Linked DNA regions of Anolis sagrei. The protein of the gene in region 2 interacts with the protein of the main gene of each other region in a pairwise test. Links are inferred from orthologs where the notes say so. Each region holds a gene or a part of one and is shown on either strand. Other genes may lie near its edges.

Region 1 (9,634 bases), on a different chromosome or scaffold from region 2:
GCCTGCAATAACGTAGATTTTGTTTTCTGATTCTCCTAATCCAAAAAGGCATCTGGCTGATGGCAGTGGAGGAAGTCCAGCCCATTCAGAAGTGATGGTATCCAACTATTTCCAAATGTAAGAATAAGAAATGACAGCATGTTTAGCATAACAATTGCAAACAACCACAAAACAGCTAATAAAAGAGACTATGATTTTTTCACCCCATCTCATCACCTCTCATGAACACCCTCTTGATGGTTCTCGCCCCCATACTATGCTTGTGTATCATAACAGATTTTTGAAAATTTCCTCTACCACATGTCCCCCTGATAATTATCAAGGTTTGCCACTTGTGCTTTTGGATTTGCACCTCCATTGTTGTTTTTATTTAAAGTCTATTTTCTATAGGTTTTTTAAATTTTCCCTAAAGATTCTTCTATTTATTTGGATCTAATTCTCACCAATGTAGCAATGCTATGTCTTAAATACAGTCCCAATTAGAATAGGCCTATTGCATCCGTGGAATTTACCTAAGTATGTTTTACTTCTCTTAACCTATCAGTTCGAAACATGCAAATGTGAGTAGGTACTGCTTTGGAGGGAAGCTAATGGTGTCCCATGCAGTCATGCCAGCCACATGACTTTGGAGGTATCTATGGACAACGCCAGCTCTTCAGCTTAGAAATGGAGATGAGCACCATCCTCCAGAGTCAAACACAATTAGACAATGTCAAGGGGAAACCTTTACCTTTGCCTTATGATCTTTTTCAGAAGTGCTCTTGTGAAAATTTGCAATGCCCTTGTGTGAAACCTTGTACACAGGACTGAACAGTTGAAATTAATATTCCTAGCACTTTTACCAAATGCATTAAATGTTTTCACCTTTCTCAAATGCATTACTTGCTCCAAGAAGCTCTGTTTCCTTTTTTTTGGAAAGGCAGACATGGGATACATCTATTCTACACTGTAGAATTAATTTAGTTTGACATCATTTTAAATTCCATGGTTCAATACTATGGAATCCTGGAAGTTGTAGTTTGGTGAAGCACCAGCCCATTTTGGCAGAGAATGCTAAAGATCTGGCAAATGACAACTCCCATGAAACTATAGCTATGAAACTGCAAACTGCATTAATTCTACAGAGTAGATGCACCCATGGCCACTGTGTATTTTTCTTCTACATCCAAGTGAGTTAATATTTTTGTTGCTGTCAGCTGATTTTTCTTGAAATGTATAAGAAGTCTGTAGATATTATAAGGTGAGAATGAGCTTATGTTCTGCCTCCTGTCTGCACTTGGCTTTCAGAAAAAGATCATTGTTGCTGTATCACAAAAGATATCAGTTGAATTAATACTTTGGTGAAGATCCTGTGTGCCAACGCCAAGCCTAATGGAAGAGCTTTAAGGTGGAAATTGTCTACATTTTTTTTTTGCTTCTAAGGTATATTTAAGAGAGCATCTTTAATGCTTTGATTTCTCTGTGCATTTTCTTGGTTTCTCAGTACAATTTTAATTAAGTTCCCGAGTCTGTTCTATTAACTGCTGCTCCTTAGAAACTTCTTGTCCACCAGACTTCATATGTGCTCCCTACAGAGGTTCCAAACTCATTAAGTATGCATTGTCATGATTCCTAACATTCATAGTAGTTAATTTGACATCTGTCCTTCCTAACTTTAAATTAAGAGGAGTTTCTCATTATATCTGATGTCTCCTCTATGCTCAAACTCTGGTTTGTTCAAGCAATAAGGAGCAACCCATCAACCCAACAGACCTCACAACCTCTGAGGATGCTTGCCACAGATGCAGGCGAAACGTCAGGAGAGAATGTTTCTAGAGCATGGCCATACAGCCTGAAAAACCAACAACAACCCAGTGATTCTGGCCATGAAAGGCTTCGACAATACATACAACCCATTGTTGTTTACAATCCTGATGTGTTAACAAACTGATGGTTATCCATTGACTAAAGTAATCAGTGTCCTCAAATCCAGATACAACAGGGAATTCTAACTGGCTTATAAGCAGAAGCAGATTGTTCTGATGTCCTCACAGCCTCACCACAAGAGACAAAGGAGCGAACATGCAAACTCAAGGCTGGTTGTGATTTTTGACCTAGAATCCTACAAGTCCTTGGGTTTCACACTGAGGAATCTGATCTGCAAGGGAAAAGCAATGGCTATAATATCTACTTCCTGTACTGAAATGAATGAAAGAGGAAACTCTTGTGAGGGGAAGAGCTCCATCTGCATGGTGAAGATAGACTGTAGCCATCAGAAATGGAAATATCAAACTAAATTAAGGAAAATTAGAAGACCAGAGTAGAAAATGCATAGACAAGGCACATGAAATATCTGAGAACATAAATTATACTGGACCAAACCAAAAAACCTATATATATTACCATTCTCGTCACAGAATGGCAAACCAGTTTCTATGAAAACTTTCCAAAAACTGTAACTACAGCCTCTAGTATTCGTGAGCACAGATATGCAGATACATAGTACTGTCAACTGATAGTCAACTGATAGTCCATTCTTCTTCTAAAGTATTTTTAAAACCTTTTAAGAGCCATCATTCCATCACATGCTAAATGTTCACCTGAACTGGCATATAAAAGAGTAGGATCATGTCAATAATCTTTGATCCTATCCCATTTCTCTTTTAGCAAAATGTCTCATTCACCTATGTCAAATGCAAGACCCGCGGACCAAATCCGGCCCATAAAATCATTCTATGTGCCCTGTGGAACTTTCAGTGTTAAGGTAACATAGTTATATTTATAAAATCTTACAATTACAAACAGCCCTTTGAAAGAAACCCTAAGACTGATGTGGCCTTTCATGAAAATGGGTTTGATAACCCTGGTCTAAAGGAACACACAGGAACAAATAGTTGGCTCTTCTGGACTGATGGTACTTCCAAGGCATGCTATGATCAAATGCCGTCCAGTCAAATGTCTCAGTTGTGCTGTTACAACAGAGTGGCACAGTGCCACCATTTCTGTTATAAAATCAATAAAACCCACTTTAATTTACATGTACATTTCTCAGGCCGACACAGCATTAAATAAGTTCTATTTAAAATATTTTAAAAAGCTTTTGGGGTGGGGGAAGGGATATAGTGGAAATGAGTTCATGGAATCCTAGAGTTGGAAGACACTTTGTGGGCCATCCAGTCCAACCCTCTGCCAAGAAGCAGGAAAATCGCATTCAAAGCACACCTAACAGATGGCCATCCAACCTCTGCTTAAAAGTCTCCAAAGAAAGAGTCTCCACCACACTCCAGGTCAGAGAGTTCCACTGCTGAACAGCTCTCACAGTCAGGAAGTTCTTCCTAATGTTCAGGTGGAATCTCCTTTCCTGTAGTTTGAAGCCATTATTCTGTGTCCTAGACTTCAGGACAGCAGAAAACAAGCCTGCTCCCTCCTCCCTATGACTTCCCCTCACATATTTATACATGGCCATCATGTCTCCTCTTAGCCTCTCAGATAGCTTAGAATATGCTAGTATTATCTAGAAAGCAGGACTGAAAAATTATGTGATACATTCTTAAGCATCTGTAGACCTCTAGTCAGAAATGATGCTGAATTAGGATACAGAAATGCAAAACTTGCAGAGACCAAGAGATAATGAATTTAAAAGATTGCTTTCCAAAAGTCCACAGAAAAGCAATGTCTTTTAGGATGTGGACTTAACTTTTTAAAATCAATTTACCCCTCTGCAGAACTGAAATGACAATGAGAAACGTAAGATTTATACCTGGAAAAAGTATGACTGGAAAGGGGCTTCCTTGTTCTCTTCATCCACGTACAGTCCTCCCACCACATAGACCTGCTTCTGTTTTGTGACAATGCTGGAATGATTTCTAGGAATCTGTTCTGACAGGGCTACCAGGTAACATTCATTCTCTGTAGGATCATATGCCACAGAAGCTGTATCATTGATGAGAAGAATGAGGTCTTTGGTAAACATTCCATGCCTTGGAATATCATTCAGACACCCAGGGAGTAAGTCCTCATCCCCGACATCACCATTAACCTCTCCTTGGGCTGACTTTCCCGCACCTTTGGTCGGTTCAGGCATTTTCCCAGTGAATGCATCTTTTATCAACTTGATCTTTTTGGAAAGATCAGGGTTAGTTTTGATTATATCATCTTTTTCAACATGCTCCTTGAAGTATTTCTCATCCATCAGCCGAAAACGGATACAGTCAAAGATCTCTACAAGAGTCTTCATTCTGTTTTCTTTATCTTTCTTCACCCACCTCATTACGGCTTCGAAAACCACTTCCTCCTTTTCAACGTTCAAGCCATCTTGTGAAATAATCGAGATGAGTTCATGGGGGGCGAGCTGTATGAAATCCTCTTCTTTGCAAATCTTCACAAAGTGGTCTGACACAAAATCACGGGCAGAAAGTGCAAGTCTTGGGCAGTCGAGGAGGATACCAAGCCTGAGGATGGCCAAGCAGTTACCTACAGCAAGCCTTTTCTGAAGATAGGAAACACACACGGTGAACACGGAGGGGATTTGAAAGCGGCTCGCCAAGGCAAAAATATCTTGAACGTTTGAATCATTGAGGTCAATGCTGGCAGAATAAAGGTACTTCACAATCATGTCAAGGGTGAGAGGGTCAACATTGTCAAGGACTACCTCTTTCTTTTTCTCCTCACTTTGCTCAGATAAGAAGTACTCCCGGAAATAAGGACTACAGGCCGACAGAATCAGTCTGTGGCACGGAAGGCTTTTATCCCCAGCTTTAAGGGAGCAATCGACAAACCTTTTCTCTTCCAAAAGCTCCCTGAGGCCATCTTGCAGAAGAGTGGATTGATAAAGCCGAAGCTCTTCAGTGAGTTCTCTTTGAGAATCCATTTTGTGGAGATCTGGACAAGGAGCTAAGGGAGAGAGCCCTCTTGTTGGTACTTAGGTCTGCCTGGAAAAGGCAGATCAGTGCACTTTGCCCAGCTTGAAGGTCCTGTAATTTAATCTTGACAGCTAAATATAGATACAGACTTTCACAAACTGGAATTTCGAATGGATGGTGTGGAAAGAAGAGTGGGGCTTGCAGCTGTCATGGGTTGAAAGAAGCAACTGTTGCTTTTAGTCACTAAGGAATCAGTTTTACTTGGTTACACACATTGAATCACTGAGATTACTTGTAGAATATACTTAGATCCCTACATTAGCAAGGAGTCAGAATTAGATCTAAAGGTAGTTGCTATGGAATAGGTCCCAAAAACATACTTGTTACTACCCTCAAGCATGATTTCAAAATATGGAATCATCAGGTGAACGTATGATGTTCATTCATAAAATCATTTAAATATATTTTAGACCAGTTGTTCCCAACCTTTTTTTGACCAGGGACCACTTGATCAGAAACCACTTGACCAGGGACCACTCTCCAACATTAGTACCAAAGGGGTTATGAATCATTTTTTGGTCAACTTTGGTTTGGTTATTTGAGCTGCTGATTCAAAAAACTGCATTGGATAGACCACATCAGTTCTAATTTCTGATACAGAACATATGCCATCCAGTAGCTGCCATCTGTTCGCCCACCAAAAACCATATTTAATAATCTAGAGTTGATGTGGTAGTGGTAATCTTTCGTGGGTAGTCAGCCTCTCCCCTCCCGACATTCCTGTTGCTTCGGCACTATGAGAGAGTTTTGTGAGACCGTCGCCCTCGTTGCAACGTGGCTTCGAGGCAACAGTGTTGTAATGGTGAGGCCATGGACCATATTTTTGTTCTGGGGGACCACTGGTGGTCCATGGACCACAGGTTGGAAACCACTGTTTCAGACAAATGAAAGCATTTCATACTCCTAGAAAAATAAACACCTGTGTAATCAATATCTAAAAGGTTATTTGTGTCTTGTTAAGATATTTAGCTGTTACACAATGGTAATGGTTAATAATGAGAAGACAGGAAAGCTTGGAGAAGACAATGATGCTGGGGAAAATGGAAGGAAAAAGGATAAGATAGATAGATGATATCCTTGAAGTAACTGGTTTGACCTTGAAGGAGCTGGGGGTGGCCACGGCCAACAGGGAGCTCTGGAGTGGGCTGATCCATGAGGTCACAAAGTTGGAAACAACTGAATGAATGAACAACAATAATTGGTTGAAAGCACTGACCAATTCAATAAAAGAGAGAGAGAGAAAGGAAGTATACAACAAATCAATAAAAATGTGGATCAAGTCCCAAAATTTAAATGCATTTTTAATAATCTCGTTAGTGCTTTACATGTGGGCTAGACATAAATGCCCATTCAGACTGGGGGATATGTTGCACAGCATATAAAACCAGAAATGGGCTCAATACAAAAGAATACCTCCTGGAATCCAACAAAACAGACAATAGTTAATAACAAATTCTTAGGTTCCAATTTATAGGAAAGTTATTCAAAACTTGTCATTTGATAAATTTTACTGAAAGTCACCTTTGTACCTTTAATACAGAATAGATACCACCAAAAGTCATGGAATGGATGTAGAACAAATTAGTCACATGTAATTGTTGAGTTTTTGGGTTCTGACTAATGACTACTCTGAAGTGACGCCATCACTGGGTTTTCTTGGTAGAATTTGTATAGAAGGATTTCCCTTTGTCTTCCTCTAAGGCTGGGAGTGTGTGATTTTTCCATGGTCACCCAGTGAGTTTTCATGACTCTGTGGGGAATTGAACTTTGACCTCACAGTGACCTAGTTTAACATTCAAACCACTACACCACACTGGTTCTCATAGCCATATTAAAATGTAAAAATCAGTCCTAGGTGATGCGGATGATATTGAATATAATGTGACTGAAGTGTGACTGCCTCAATCTGAATTCAACTCTATATGAGTAGGAAAGTTTAAATGGGCGTCTCTCAATGTATACTCGAAAGATCAGCTGCTACAACAACAGCTGGATAGACAGGTCATTTGACATTCTTCCATTTATAGAGATGGAAGACATGCAGTTACCTCATGTAAAATCATACCAGCTGCCCCTCTCAAACAATAAATGACATTTCATTTTGAATGCAACACTGTTGGTTCACTGGATAGATACAGCTATTATGCTGTTCCTTTAACTTCTACCCTTAAAAACAAAGCTGAACTGGATTTTTAAATTAGATTATTAGTAGTTGATTTCTGCTTGGGGTTCACCTAAGGGCCACATAATTTGCTGGTTTTTTTTATCATGTCAGAAGCAACTTGAGAACATACTGCAAGTCACTTCTGGTGTGAAAGAATTGGCTGTCTACAGAGAGACGTTGCCCTGGGGTTGCCTGGATGTGTTAGCTGGGAGGCTTCTCTAATGTCCCCACAAGTTAGAGCTGACAGATGGGAACTCAACCTGTCTCGTGGATTCGAACCAGCAACCTTCAGGTCAACAACCCAATCTTCAGCTCAACAGTTCAGCTGGCACAAGGGTTTAACCGATTGCATCACTGCAAAAAAAAAATAATTGCTGGTGATTTTGCTGTGATAACTTCCTGTTATATATTCCTTATCAACACAGAAACTGAATTCATGCCATTTGAATGCTTTATATATTCCCAAAGGTTTTTATTTTACATTTCATATAGAATATGTTTAGTAAGATGATGGTTTGGCGATAGGGACTGGATGTAGAAAAGTCAACAAATAAATAAAGAATGAGGAAATACATCACCAAAGAACATGAATTAACATTTCCTAGATTTTATGTTACGGACAGAGCATATTCACCAACAATGAAGTATTTTGGGTTCAAATCTGTGGCAGTAATAGCTAGGGAACATATGGTGAAGGATTTAATATGTACATTTTGTATTGTATAATATGAAAGACACATAATAATAATAATAATAATAATAATATTTATTATTATTATTATTATTATTATTATTATTATTTTATTATTTCTAACCCACCTCTCCTCGTGGCTTGGGGTGAGTAACGACATGTTCAATAGTCACTTTCCTGGAAGGATTACATTTGGCATAAATATTCTATTGGCATCTAAAATATTCTGCTGAGATTAATAGCAGGTTTCTTTTCATCCAATGGAATAACTTGTTGAATTCTGTTATTAAAGACAGTGATTGTAGACATTTTACATTTGAAATATATGTTTTCGCAGTCCCATTGTCTGCTCTTATATAAATGTGTCAGTTTGTTACTTTCAGGGAAAAATTCAACAATGCCAACCTTATTGGTTTGAGCTCCAGATAATGTCTGATTTCTTATAAAGCTGTCATTCTTTTTCTGCATTCCTTTGGCACTTGTGAGAAAAGAAATTCGACTTTGCTACCACCTTTTGGCTCCTTACTCCTCTTCGGCCACAGATCCTACTGAACCGCATCACACGATGCAGGCCATGGCCTCACCCCAATGATGGCTGAAGTGGTGAGGAAATGTTGCAAGATACTTCCTCGCCAACCAAAGTAACCATGGTTGGCGAGGAGCTACCCTTTCCCCCATCTGATGGGAGAAGGAATAGGGCACCAATGCACCTTGATACCCCCATGTGATAGGGAAAGGAGGGAGGGCGCATGGGTTGCTATGAGGCAGCATGCCAGTGTTGTTTGCAGGCGAAACGTAACAAAATAGAGCGGGGGGGGGGGGGGGGGGGCATCTATAATGAGGTCCCATTGAACAATATTCTGTAACCCGACATGACTACCTTATTTAACAATTGATTTGTTATTTGAGACCAAAGACTTCTAAGTGACATTAATCTTCCTCTTACTGGTGCTACATTTCTGTCAATACTAGGTTCTTCCTCTCCGTGGAAAGGTGCTATTACTAGTGTTCAACATACTGGCCTAGTTTACCAAATTGTAGTCTCTGTTTAACTCTTTGATTCTGGTATCTATAGCACTAACCATCACACATTTGCCTCAAATGTTAGACTTGTTTCTGGGTATATTTGACCTGCAGATTTAAAAAATGGCCCCAGTTTTCCTTTATTAGATCTACTTTTTGATACAGAACATATGTCAATTGCCATCTGCTTGCCCATAGAAAACCATAACAACCATAAGAAACTAGAGCTGATGCAATCTATCCAATGCAATTTTCTGAATAAGCGTCCCAAATAATCCCAGGAACAGGCCTAAAAAACCAAGCCTGAATCATCCTCTTTCTACTCACAAGGAATAAGTCAAATCATACCCACTCCTAAAGGGTCTCCTATCATATTGTCTCTTATGAAAAGGCCTTATCATCTTTTTTCTCTCTCTTTTTAATTCACATATTATCTAGTGCTTCTCCCCAAAAGAATAATTCCCCTTTAAATGGCATGAAGACAAAAAATATTTTTAGATTTGGAATTTGCTTCCCAATGTCGTAATCAGTGATCACCTTCCTATCCTTATCACATTGATGGTTCGTGCTGCTAAGGTTGTTGCATCATGATATGCATCAGCTATGAATTACAATACTTTTGTTATCCTTTTCAATGCCTTATTAAGTGTTTGTATGTCTAATTCCTGTGTGGAACTTGTAATATCATGGCTCAAACAAACATTGATACTGATGTAGATGCTCTCAAAGTCTTAGCTGATGCTTCATGAGTTTTTTTCATGATTATATCTGCTCTCCTTTCATCCACCTCTTTGAAGGAGTGTCATAGCTGCCACATTAAGAGCCACTACTGGAGCATGAACCAAAGTAATATTT
Region 2 (10,486 bases):
CATGGTCTGGGGCCAATGTATCTGAGGGATCGTCTCACCCCCTACCAACCCCAGAGATCCCTCCGCTCTGAGGACCAAGATCTATTGGAAGTCCCCAGTGTCAAGACCTTGCGTCTAACGGCAACCAGACGCAGAGCCTTCACAGCAGTGGCGCCATCAGTCTGGAATGCTCTGCCACCTGAAGTTCGTGCACTGCGGGACTTACCAGCTTTCCGCAGGGCATGTAAGACATACCTGTTCCGACAGGCTTTTAATGTTTGATACTGTTGTTTTTAAATTGTTTTAAATTGCTTTTAAACTTTGTTAGATTTTAGCTATTCTTGTAAGCCGCTCCGAGCCCCAGGGGAGTGGCGGCATATAAGTTTAAATAATAAATAAATAAATAAATAAATAAATAAATAAAATAATTTTGTAATGACATTTGAAACTTTTTTTTTATCAATCACACATGCCTAGTATTCAATAATAGTGTCTTTCTAACAAATCCCACTGCAAGAATGTATACTGAACCCAGAATATGCCTCTGGGCATTTGAGCTGCTTCTGGTTTCTGGCTTGTTTTGAATCTCTTATACTACAATAATAACTGCATGTGGCTAAGCTTTGGTTTAGGCTGTGAGAAACCCAAACAAGTCTCCTTCAATTAAAAGACTCATCATATATGGTTTTGGGAAAGCATGACTCAGCATGATAAAGAATAGCCATAAATAGGTTCTGCACTTTATTTAAAACCAGAACCCTGAATGACAGCTATGGAATGGGTGTCTCATATTGGTGCTGAGACATGGGGAATATTCATTGTCCTGTTTCTTGAGAACTACCCCCGGAGGTGAAAAGACTGGGGTATAAAAACTCTAAATAATAAATAAATAAATAAATGTGTGGTACATCCCATTTGAATTATTGTTATGCTCTCGATGTGGGGTTGTCTTTGAAAAGTGTTCTGTTGGTTCAAAGAGCTACAGCCAGATTGCAAATTAGGGGTGCATCTTGACAGGGCAATAAATGATGCTGATCCAGAGTGGAGTACTCCAGAACAGAATAGCACTGGGCTGAGTAATGAACAACTCCGTTTTCATGTCCACTAGGCACTGTAAATGGCCTATCAAGGGGGCAAAGTAGGTGCTATCTCCTGCTCGCGGGCCGAACATGGGGTGGTGGTGTAACCAAGTGTGGCCACATCTCAATTAGGAAGTGGCACAACTGATTACAAGTGCTCGAAATCGTAGGGAAACTCCTGAGTATCCCATGACTTCTGTTATTGTGGTTCAAGGCCGCACGAAGCTAAATAGTACCATGCATTGTGATACCACCACAGAGCTGATTCAGTCCCCTTTCACATTAAAATGCCATGATAAAATGAAAATGCAGCCTAGGGCTGGCTACAGGGAGCAATTTCTGGACACAATTAAAGCCATTAATGACTTACATCCAGGTATTTTAATATTTGTAATATTTAATATTTTAATTTGCAAACTGTTTATTTTTGTAATGTTATGCTTTTAATATCTTTTTATTGTTTTTAACATATTTATTTAATATGCTGGTTGTTATCCCGACTCCCATTATCAGGGGAAAGTTAGGATACAAATGAAAATGATCATCATCATGATATGAAAATGTAAGAAGAAAGAGGGAGGGAGACAGAGAGATCTATTACTGCTATTAAATAAAAATGGAATAAAATCTTATTTTTTTCAGGAGTAAAGAAAGATTTTCTAAATTGATTTTTCATAATCCATCTAGTTCGATTCTTAACATAATTAGTCTCAAAGAGTCAATGTAAAGTTAAACTGTCATTTTGAGTCCCTTAAATACAATATTAATTATTTTTAAATGAATTCATGTGATTTCAGTTATACTTTAATGGTGGTTAAATTTAGTTTAATTGACTAAAATGTTACATCTATCATTACGCTTAAAAGAATCAGGTCGTTGTTCAATAAAATACGTTGAACTATGTGAAATAATGAGATAATGTGAACAGGTTAAAAGTATATTTTAAAAAGGAGACACTCAGGAATATCCATTACATCTAAAGAAAAATGTAAATTCTTGTTGAAAATGTATTATTATTATTATTATTATTATTTTAAAAAGAGGGCAGTTGATGATGATGCTTTTCCTCAAAATTAGTATTCAAAGTGGCTCACAATGAAAAGAACAATTCAAATTGGGAACATTCAAGTGAGCATTAAAATAGGATTAAATTATTCATATTATTTAAAAAAATAGACTTTGATTTGAAAGAATAAAATGAAATTTAAATAAGCGAAAAAGCTATTCAAAACAATTCACTTAAAAATACAGCACACCCTAAGTTCATTCTTTAAAAGCTTTGTATTTTAAAGCTCTGTTGGAATAAAAAGAATTTTCTCTGCTGATGGGAAAACAACAAGGAAGGGGCTATTTTAGCCTTTCTGGGAAGGGAGTTCTGGAGTCTATGGACAGTGATCATGAAGTCCCTTTCCCGCCTTCTTAACAACCTTACTGCTAACAAAACAACTATCTTTTGAACATCTTGAGATGTATCTCTGGTCTTTTCTGTAATGCCATATTAAGCTGTTTAACTATTTTTTTAAAACCCAGTCAAAACACTTGAGGACAATTTAAAATGATGCACAGATAGCAATTTGTATGGAATCAGGTTCCAAAAGCTTGTTGTTGCTGATGCCAGAATGACTCCAGCGTTGGTACCATTCTAGGAGAGGGTGGTCAAAAACTAGGCCGCCACAGCAGTTGCTCCCACAAGTGTATACAGGAAATAAGCCTTCTCTTGTGTATCAAGGATCCAAGGCATTTAGGGCTTTGCATGTCATCACAAATCCACAAGACTCTACACTCACTTGGGAATCACTTGGCCGTTCTCTTGTTGGAATGCAACTCACAACAAGCTCTAGCCAACATAGTTCAAAGTGAAGAATGCTGAGAGTTGCACTTAAACAACATCTGAAGGGCCACATAATTCCCACTCAATGCTGTAGACCCCAGAAGACACTCTTACACCATATTTTCTATCTAAGATGCTGTGAGTCTGCCTGGAGCTGTTTTTGTTCGCTTGCTTACTTGTTCACTTGTGCAACTGAGGTTGGGAAGGATACAGTTTTGAATCACACTTTTCATAATCTCTCAGCAAGCACAAATAGAGCTTCCGTATGCTTATAACTTAAGAAATTCCTATAACTAAAATTCAGTAAGAAAAGAATGTAAACAGTAAAAGCAGTTTGACCAGGATGGAAGGAATAATTTATAATCTGGACAAGACTTCATCAAAATTCATTTGTATCTTGATAATGAATTTCATAGCCATAAACACAGGTTATGTTTTTTTTTATCTGAAATGCTTGAGACTAGAAGTATTTGGATTTTGCATTTTTTGGAATTTTTCTATATACAAATATTATGTGCATAATCAGATATCTTAGAGATGGACCCAGGTCTAGATATGAAATTCATATATGTTTCATATATACCTTGCAAACATAGCCTGAAGGTAGTTATTAAAATAATTCTGTACATGAAATGTGCATAAATGTTGTGCACATTCAATTGTCAGAAAGCAAAAGTGTCACTATTTCAGCCCCATTTGTGGATAATTTTGAATTTTGGAGCTTTTTGGATTTCAGAATTCCAGATAAGGGAAACTTAACCTGTAATATTTGTTAGCTACAAGACCAAAACACACTTACGCTTGACAGTAAGGTCTTTTTTGGTGGCTGACAAAGTTATTTACGGTTAACATCATCTTGCAGGTTTCACAGTGAAAGCAGGCCTTATGCCATGTCTGGAAATAGCAAGGACAAGAATACAGTGAAAGTTACTTCTGTGGCAATTCAATACATGTATAAAAAAGCAGATCTATTTCTGTCATGTAATCTTTAAGAGACATAAAATGTTTCGCTAACTATCAGCAAATCTTAGGTTTGACATCAAAGTCAATCATCATTTATAAAGATTAGAATAATTTAGGATTGTTTTAAATGATTTAAATTCATATAGTTGTTTAGCTATTCAGATAATGTTTGTGGCTATATTAGATCAGAACTTTTTCCCTTATGCCCAAGAACAGCAATACTGACCTGATCAATACAGTTAATCTTCTCTGCGGGATAAACCCCGTAGCCACATCTGGCACAAGGCTGGATATTCATCTTGAAATTATCCAAGGAAATATTTAAATTAGAAAAAAACCCACAAAACTTTTGAGGGATACAAAAGTACAAAAAAGAAAATGCGTTGCTTCGTATGAAACTCTCCAATCTGTCCACGGTTCAACGTTCTGCTACTCTGTTGCTGCGCTTCTTTCAAACTCAGCTGTTGTCTGGTTTTTAAAGCTGCCACTTACGAAGAGGGGTTATTTTGGCAACTGTGTACGAGTTCATGGGAGGAAATGCAACAGGAGAATTCAGTGATACCTTTCTTTAAATAGAAGAGTGAACTCACAGAGAAACCTCATGATTATATGAGTGAGAGCAACTAATTGTTAATATTTACACTATGGAGCTTCAAGACAGACTTCTAAATATATGTTGTTTCATCTTCAGATTATTATTTATTTGCTAAGGATCACCATTAAGGAAAGAGGAACAAGTCAAAGACATTTCTGAATTAAACACTCATCCCTCATACAGCTGATTCAGACTTAATTACTGGTAGTTCCTATAAGCGTGCAATGCCCAATCTGTCTCACATGAAAATTGAAAACTTGTTCCTCAGATGAATAAGCATACACAGGAATTCTACTTTAGATGGCAAAACTATGCTTATAATAAGCCTCAAAATTGCACTGCTTCCAAAAAACACTTCCTAAGTCTTTGAAACACAATTTATTCAAAGACTAGACATTATATAGGAAATTAGAAAATGTATCTGATTGAACGTAAAATGATCCAGAATATCTATTTTGATTTTTTAAAATCAAGAATAGAGTTAGGATTCCGCAAAAAATAAATGCGGAACTGAAAAAATTTGGAGCTGACAGAGGGAGCTCATCCATGCTGTCCCCGGATTCGAACCTCTGACCTGTTGGTCTTCAGTCCTGCCAGCACAAGGGTTTAAACCAGGGGTCCTCAAACTAAGGCCTGGGGGCCGGATGCGGCCCTCCAAGGTCATTTACCCGGCCCTCGCTCAGGGTCAACATAAGTCTGAAATGACTTGAAAGTACATAACAACAACAACAACAATCCTATCTCATCAGCCAAAAGCAGGCCCACATTTCCCATTGAAATACTAATAAGTTTATATTTGTTAACATTGTTCCTCATTTTAATTATTGTATTGCTTTTAAGTGTTTTTTACACTACAAATAAGATATGTGCAGTGTGCATAGGAATTCATGGGGTTTTTTTTTTCAAATTATAATCCGGCTCTCCAACAGTTTGAGGGACTGTGACCTGGTCCTCCATTTAAAAAGTTTGGGGACCCCTGGTTTAAACCATTGCACCATCGGAGGCTCCTGACCACCACTAAGTGATAGAGAAGGTTCCAACTTACATACAACCTGGTATTTTGCTTTTTGCTGCCTCATACGCTTGCTAGTTTTCAAAAGCAACAATGAGGTAGATGAGAGATTATGTAGTACAAACAAACCAGTGAGCTGTAACATTTAAAAGGCTTTTAAAAGTCTTTTTAAAAGCAAATAAAAGCATTTAAGCTACTGTTGGCAAAAGCGAAAGTAAAATTAAAAAATAAGCATTTTTACTATATTACAATAATGGCAAAGATGTTCAGGCGTACTTCAGTTAGCTAAGCAGAAATGTTCCCAGGTTCTTATTTCTTTAACGGAAAATGAGGTGCCAGAGACAGAAATAATGGGAAGGATAAGAATACGACACCACAAAAAAGAAGAGCGGTATAACATGCTAAAAGAAACTTTTTTATTCCCAAATGACAGCAAGCATATCTGAAAGGAAACAACTTAGCAAAACTTCCTTAAGTAAACAAAAACAATTCGAACACTTGAAGCCTCCTTCCAAAATGCATCCAGGGATGACATTTTCTTTCAACTGGCCTTATGTTTTCCATTTCACTGGCTAAACTTACAGATATATGTATGTTTATTTCAATATACTGTGGGTAGCTGTTGAAGAAGGCTAATTTGCTTGCTCCTTTTCTATTTTGCTGTCCTTGTGTTTATTAAGAGATTTTTTTTTCATGTCTGCGGTCAGTAGGCATATAAGTACTATCAGCTAGTATAAAAACTGGCTTTTCCCAGCTCAAGCTTCACTGCACCATTTATTATGAGCTGAAACCTGACACAGAATGTCTTGTCTTTTTCCAGTATCACTTTGTCATTCTCCCAATGTGTTTGCTGCTAAAAGGACTCCAACTTGACAAAGGAGTGTGAAAAGTGGGAATGTACAGACAAATAAATAAATAAATAAATAAAGAGTTTGCAAAAAGAAGCTTTGCTAGCTATATTTTGCCACATAACTCTATCTATTGATAGATATCCCTGCTCACTATATAGCTATTTATTTATTTACCATCTGCTTTATCTCTCCACCCAGAGATTCAAACAGCTCGCAATTAAAAATATTGCAACTTCAAATATAGAAATATACAATAATAAAACAGTATTATCATTACATATGATTATATATTATCAATAGTATTATAATTAATGCCACTATGAGCCACCTAGGACCTTAAGATCATCAGGGGAGGCCCTGCTCTCAGTCCTCCCACCATCTCAATCACGCTTGGTGGGGATGAGAGACAGGGCCTTCTCTGTGGTGGCCCCTCGGCTATGGAATTCTCTCCCAAACAAAATCAGATCTGCTCCATCTCTCCTGTCATCTGAAAAAAGTGAAATCCTGGCTGTGGTATCAGGCCTTTGTGGACTAGACTGATTTGCTGGCAAAGTTATGGTTTTAATGGACTAAGATGGACTGCTTTTAGGATTACGACTGAATTCGGTGTTGTATTTAATGTTTTTATATCATTTTTATACTGTTTTATTATATTATGTATATTTATTCTTTTATTGTGGGCACCATGCTGTGCTGGTTGTTAGCTGCCCTGAGTCCTTCTGTGGAGGTATAGAACGGGATATAAATGCCCTAAATAAATAATCATAATAAATTAGCATTATTATATTACAATATTATTATATATTATTATATTGTATTATTAGTATATTGTATTGCATTACAATATTATTATTAATTTTATATGTATATACAATATATTATATTATGAGCATAGAAGAATATTAATATTATATATTATTATCTTGTACTAATGCTAATATACTTCGATATTATTAGTAATGTGTTGTCAAAGGCTTTTGTGGCTGGAATCACAGGGTTGCTGTGAGTTTTTCAGGCAACCCAATTATTAGTAATATAATATATAATGCATAATATATAATGTATAATAATATATAATATATTATAATTATATTTGACTAGGTAGTTCCAAAGAACTGGCCCAATATTAAGTTCCAGCACTTTAGCATGGCCCTCCACTCTATAATCCTGACATTTTAATGCCCATAAACATTATTCTCCCAGCCCTGCCTTTATGAATTTTGCACTTTCCCTTAGCTCTATCTAGGAATTTGCACAAACCCAGAGCCCTCTGAACTCAACACTTTTATCATTCTGATTGGTACTGTTATTATGATGTTCTGTTTTATTGGGATATGTTTTTTATTTGGTTTTGTTTTAATGCTATATTATTGTGTAAAGTTTTTAACTTTGTGCTCTCTGGGCTTGTCCCTTTGTAAACCGCCCTGAGTCCCTTTGGGGAGATGGAGGCAGGGTGTAACAATAAAATTATTATTATTATTATTATTATTATTATTATTATTATTATATTGTACTACATTATTATACCACAACACATATAATATACCACCAGTATATTGTACTATTACTTACTTAGGTGATCCCTCATTGTCCGAGTAAGATTGCCCTCCAAGTGCGGTGTCCTAGAGGTGGGTCCATAGGTGACTGTGGAGCTCTCACGCAGTGAGGGCTTTGGTTTCCAGGTGGAAGGCAGTCCCGGTCTGGGTTGGCTTGATGCGCCTTCCTCTTGGCACGTTTCTCTCTTTCGCCCACCATTTGTGCCTCTTCAAATTCTACATCACTGCTGGTCACAGCTAACCCGCTAGAGCGCTCAAGGGCCAGGGCTTCCCATATTATACTATTAGTATTATATAATACCTTGCATTATATCATTAATTGTAGCATTGATTAATTAATTATGCATTATTTATTTATTTACCACATTTGTATATCACCTTTCTCAGCCAGAGGCGACTCAAGGCAGTTCACAGCGATTTGATGCCATAAAAATTATAAAAATACAATTAAAACAATTATAAAAACAATTAAAACATTTAAAATGTGATATAAAAAACAATACAGCCTGTAAAAACAAAATCCTCGGCGTCTCCTTACTAAAATAGCTGTCCAATTGCATTGTCAGTCGTTCCATATATTAGTTCTCATCTAATTCCGTACCAATAGTAAAAACTTGCTCGAAGAGCCAGGTCTTAACCATTTTGAGGGAATGTTAGAAGGGAGGGAGCCGATCTTATATCCCTGGGAATGGCATTCCCTAGCCAAGGGGCCACCACTGAGAAGGCCCTGTCACTCATTCCCGCCAAATGTATCTGTGAGGAAGGCGGGATCGAGAGCAGGGCCTCTCCAGATGATCTTAAAGTCCTAGTTGGTTCATAAGTAGAGATAGGTAAGCCGAACTATTTAGGGCTATAATTAATATAATATATTATACTAGCCATCCCCTACCACACGTTGCTGTGGCCCAGTTTGCGTATAAGTGTTTTTTGTGTGTATATATTTGTGTATATGTGTGTTTGTGTATATATATATATGGTTTTGCACATGCGTTGTAATTTATTTTTTATTTTTTTGCTTTTTAAGTCCCTTTCATTGTGTTTTTCAATGTTTTTATGAGTGATGGACACTCGTTGGTCTGATAGGTGTATCACGTCCAAATTTGGTGTCAATTCGTCCAGTAGTTTTTGAGTTATGTTAATCCCAAAAATGAACATTACATTTTTATTTATATAGTGTTCTGTCTTCCAGGAATATAGTTTGTATTACCTTTTAGTTGCATGGGATAGTGTTCCTTTGCATTTCCCCAGGGCTGCTACAGACCCAGCAGCACCCTGGAAGTTAAACAGTATCAGAGTCTGGAAAGCCAGACTGCAGGCCCTCTGCAGTTATTGGTTTAGAAAGGTATCTCTTTGGGTCTAGAGACCGCCCTTTTTCCTCGGTTGAGATCTCCATTTTGGAATCTCCCCTGCCTCCTTCAGTAGAGAAAGAAAGCTTCAGATGTGCTGTTGGTCAGGCAGGTAACTCTGAAAAAAACCATTGTAAGAATGACTGAGTTATTTAGACAGAGAAGCTGATTGAGATACTATAAAGAAGCTAATTGAAACAGAGATAGAATAGCAATTGAGTAATTGAGCTATTGAGTTATAGATAGATATTGAGTTATTGAGAAATAGTTATTGAACACCTTTTGCTTCATCTCCAAAACCAACCTTGGGCTGGAATAGGGAAGGCCTACGCTTTCTAAAAGATAGTGGCTCAGGGTTGGGGTAACAAGATCTCAGGATTTTTTCTACCATTTGGATGAAGGCAGCTCAGTGACTAGAGAAAAGGAAAAGAAAGAACATCTCTGTGGTTTCACCAATTGACTGTTTTGTTTGTAACTTTAACAAGCTGTGCCAAGTCTGCAAGGACGTTGAGAAATAAATATTCTGTTTTGATGTTCAAAGCCTGTAGTAGCCTCAGTTGTGGGAATCTCAAGCTTCTAAAGAAAGACCCCCCGCGGTCCACCCAGACAAAGAGAGAAGGACATCTTAGTTTTATTTTTATAGGGTCTGGGTGTGACGGCACATACAGATATTATATAATAGAAAGAGAGAGTCTATACTATATAACTATGCTAGTCTATACTTTGGGAAACTTAGACCTCCAACTAAATTCTAAGAATACATTCTGAATTTTTTTCCTATGGCTCCTTTTCTCCTTCTTGTTACAGAAACTCTTGCCAGCATTTTTCCCCCCTGCGTTACCATTTTTATACAGTTTTCAAAGTGTCACAGTGATTATTTGATCAGGATTATACTGCTCGTTCTTCTACCTTCGTGTATTTACTCAGCTTGTAAATGAGCCCCAGGGCTACAAAGGGCAGTGAAAGGGCGTATATATTTTCCTGGGACAACTTGGCTTTGCTTGAGCCAAACTGCGCTGGGCGCTTCATTCCAGCAGGTGGCGCTGTTGGGAAGCGAGGGCGCCGCAGCCACGCAGGCGGGCGAGAGAAAGAGGGAGAGCGGTTTCCACTTTCGAGGCTGGAGGCGGGAGCCTTTGCCGAGCGAGAGAGGCGCAGGAGGGGCCGCCTTTTGCTTTCGCTTTCTGCGTAACTGAGCCCAGCTGCAGCAAGGCTTCCCATTCGCGGCTCTCAGGCAAGTTTCTCCTTAAAGTTGGGGCTGAAGGGAGGGGGCGGGA

Evidence for each region.
Region 1: the proteins of NRAP (region 2) and KLHL41 interact in binary tests that used the Homo sapiens proteins (3 or more experiments, as listed by UniProt). The link is inferred for Anolis sagrei from reciprocal best matches to the Homo sapiens genes NRAP and KLHL41.

Annotation. Positions count from the first base shown.
Region 1 is NC_090021.1:194,933,557-194,943,190, forward strand, and holds the start of KLHL41 (kelch-like protein 41), read right to left. Parts: upstream 4,941-9,634; 5' UTR 4,850-4,940; coding exon 3,740-4,849; intron 106-3,739; coding exon 1-105. UniProt on the Homo sapiens protein: Involved in skeletal muscle development and differentiation. Regulates proliferation and differentiation of myoblasts and plays a role in myofibril assembly by promoting lateral fusion of adjacent thin fibrils into mature, wide myofibrils.
Region 2 is NC_090023.1:207,215,518-207,226,003, reverse strand, and holds the start of NRAP (nebulin-related-anchoring protein), read right to left. Parts: upstream 4,303-10,486; 5' UTR 4,151-4,302; coding exon 4,079-4,150; intron 3,784-4,078; coding exon 3,689-3,783; intron 1-3,688. UniProt on the Homo sapiens protein: May be involved in anchoring the terminal actin filaments in the myofibril to the membrane and in transmitting tension from the myofibrils to the extracellular matrix.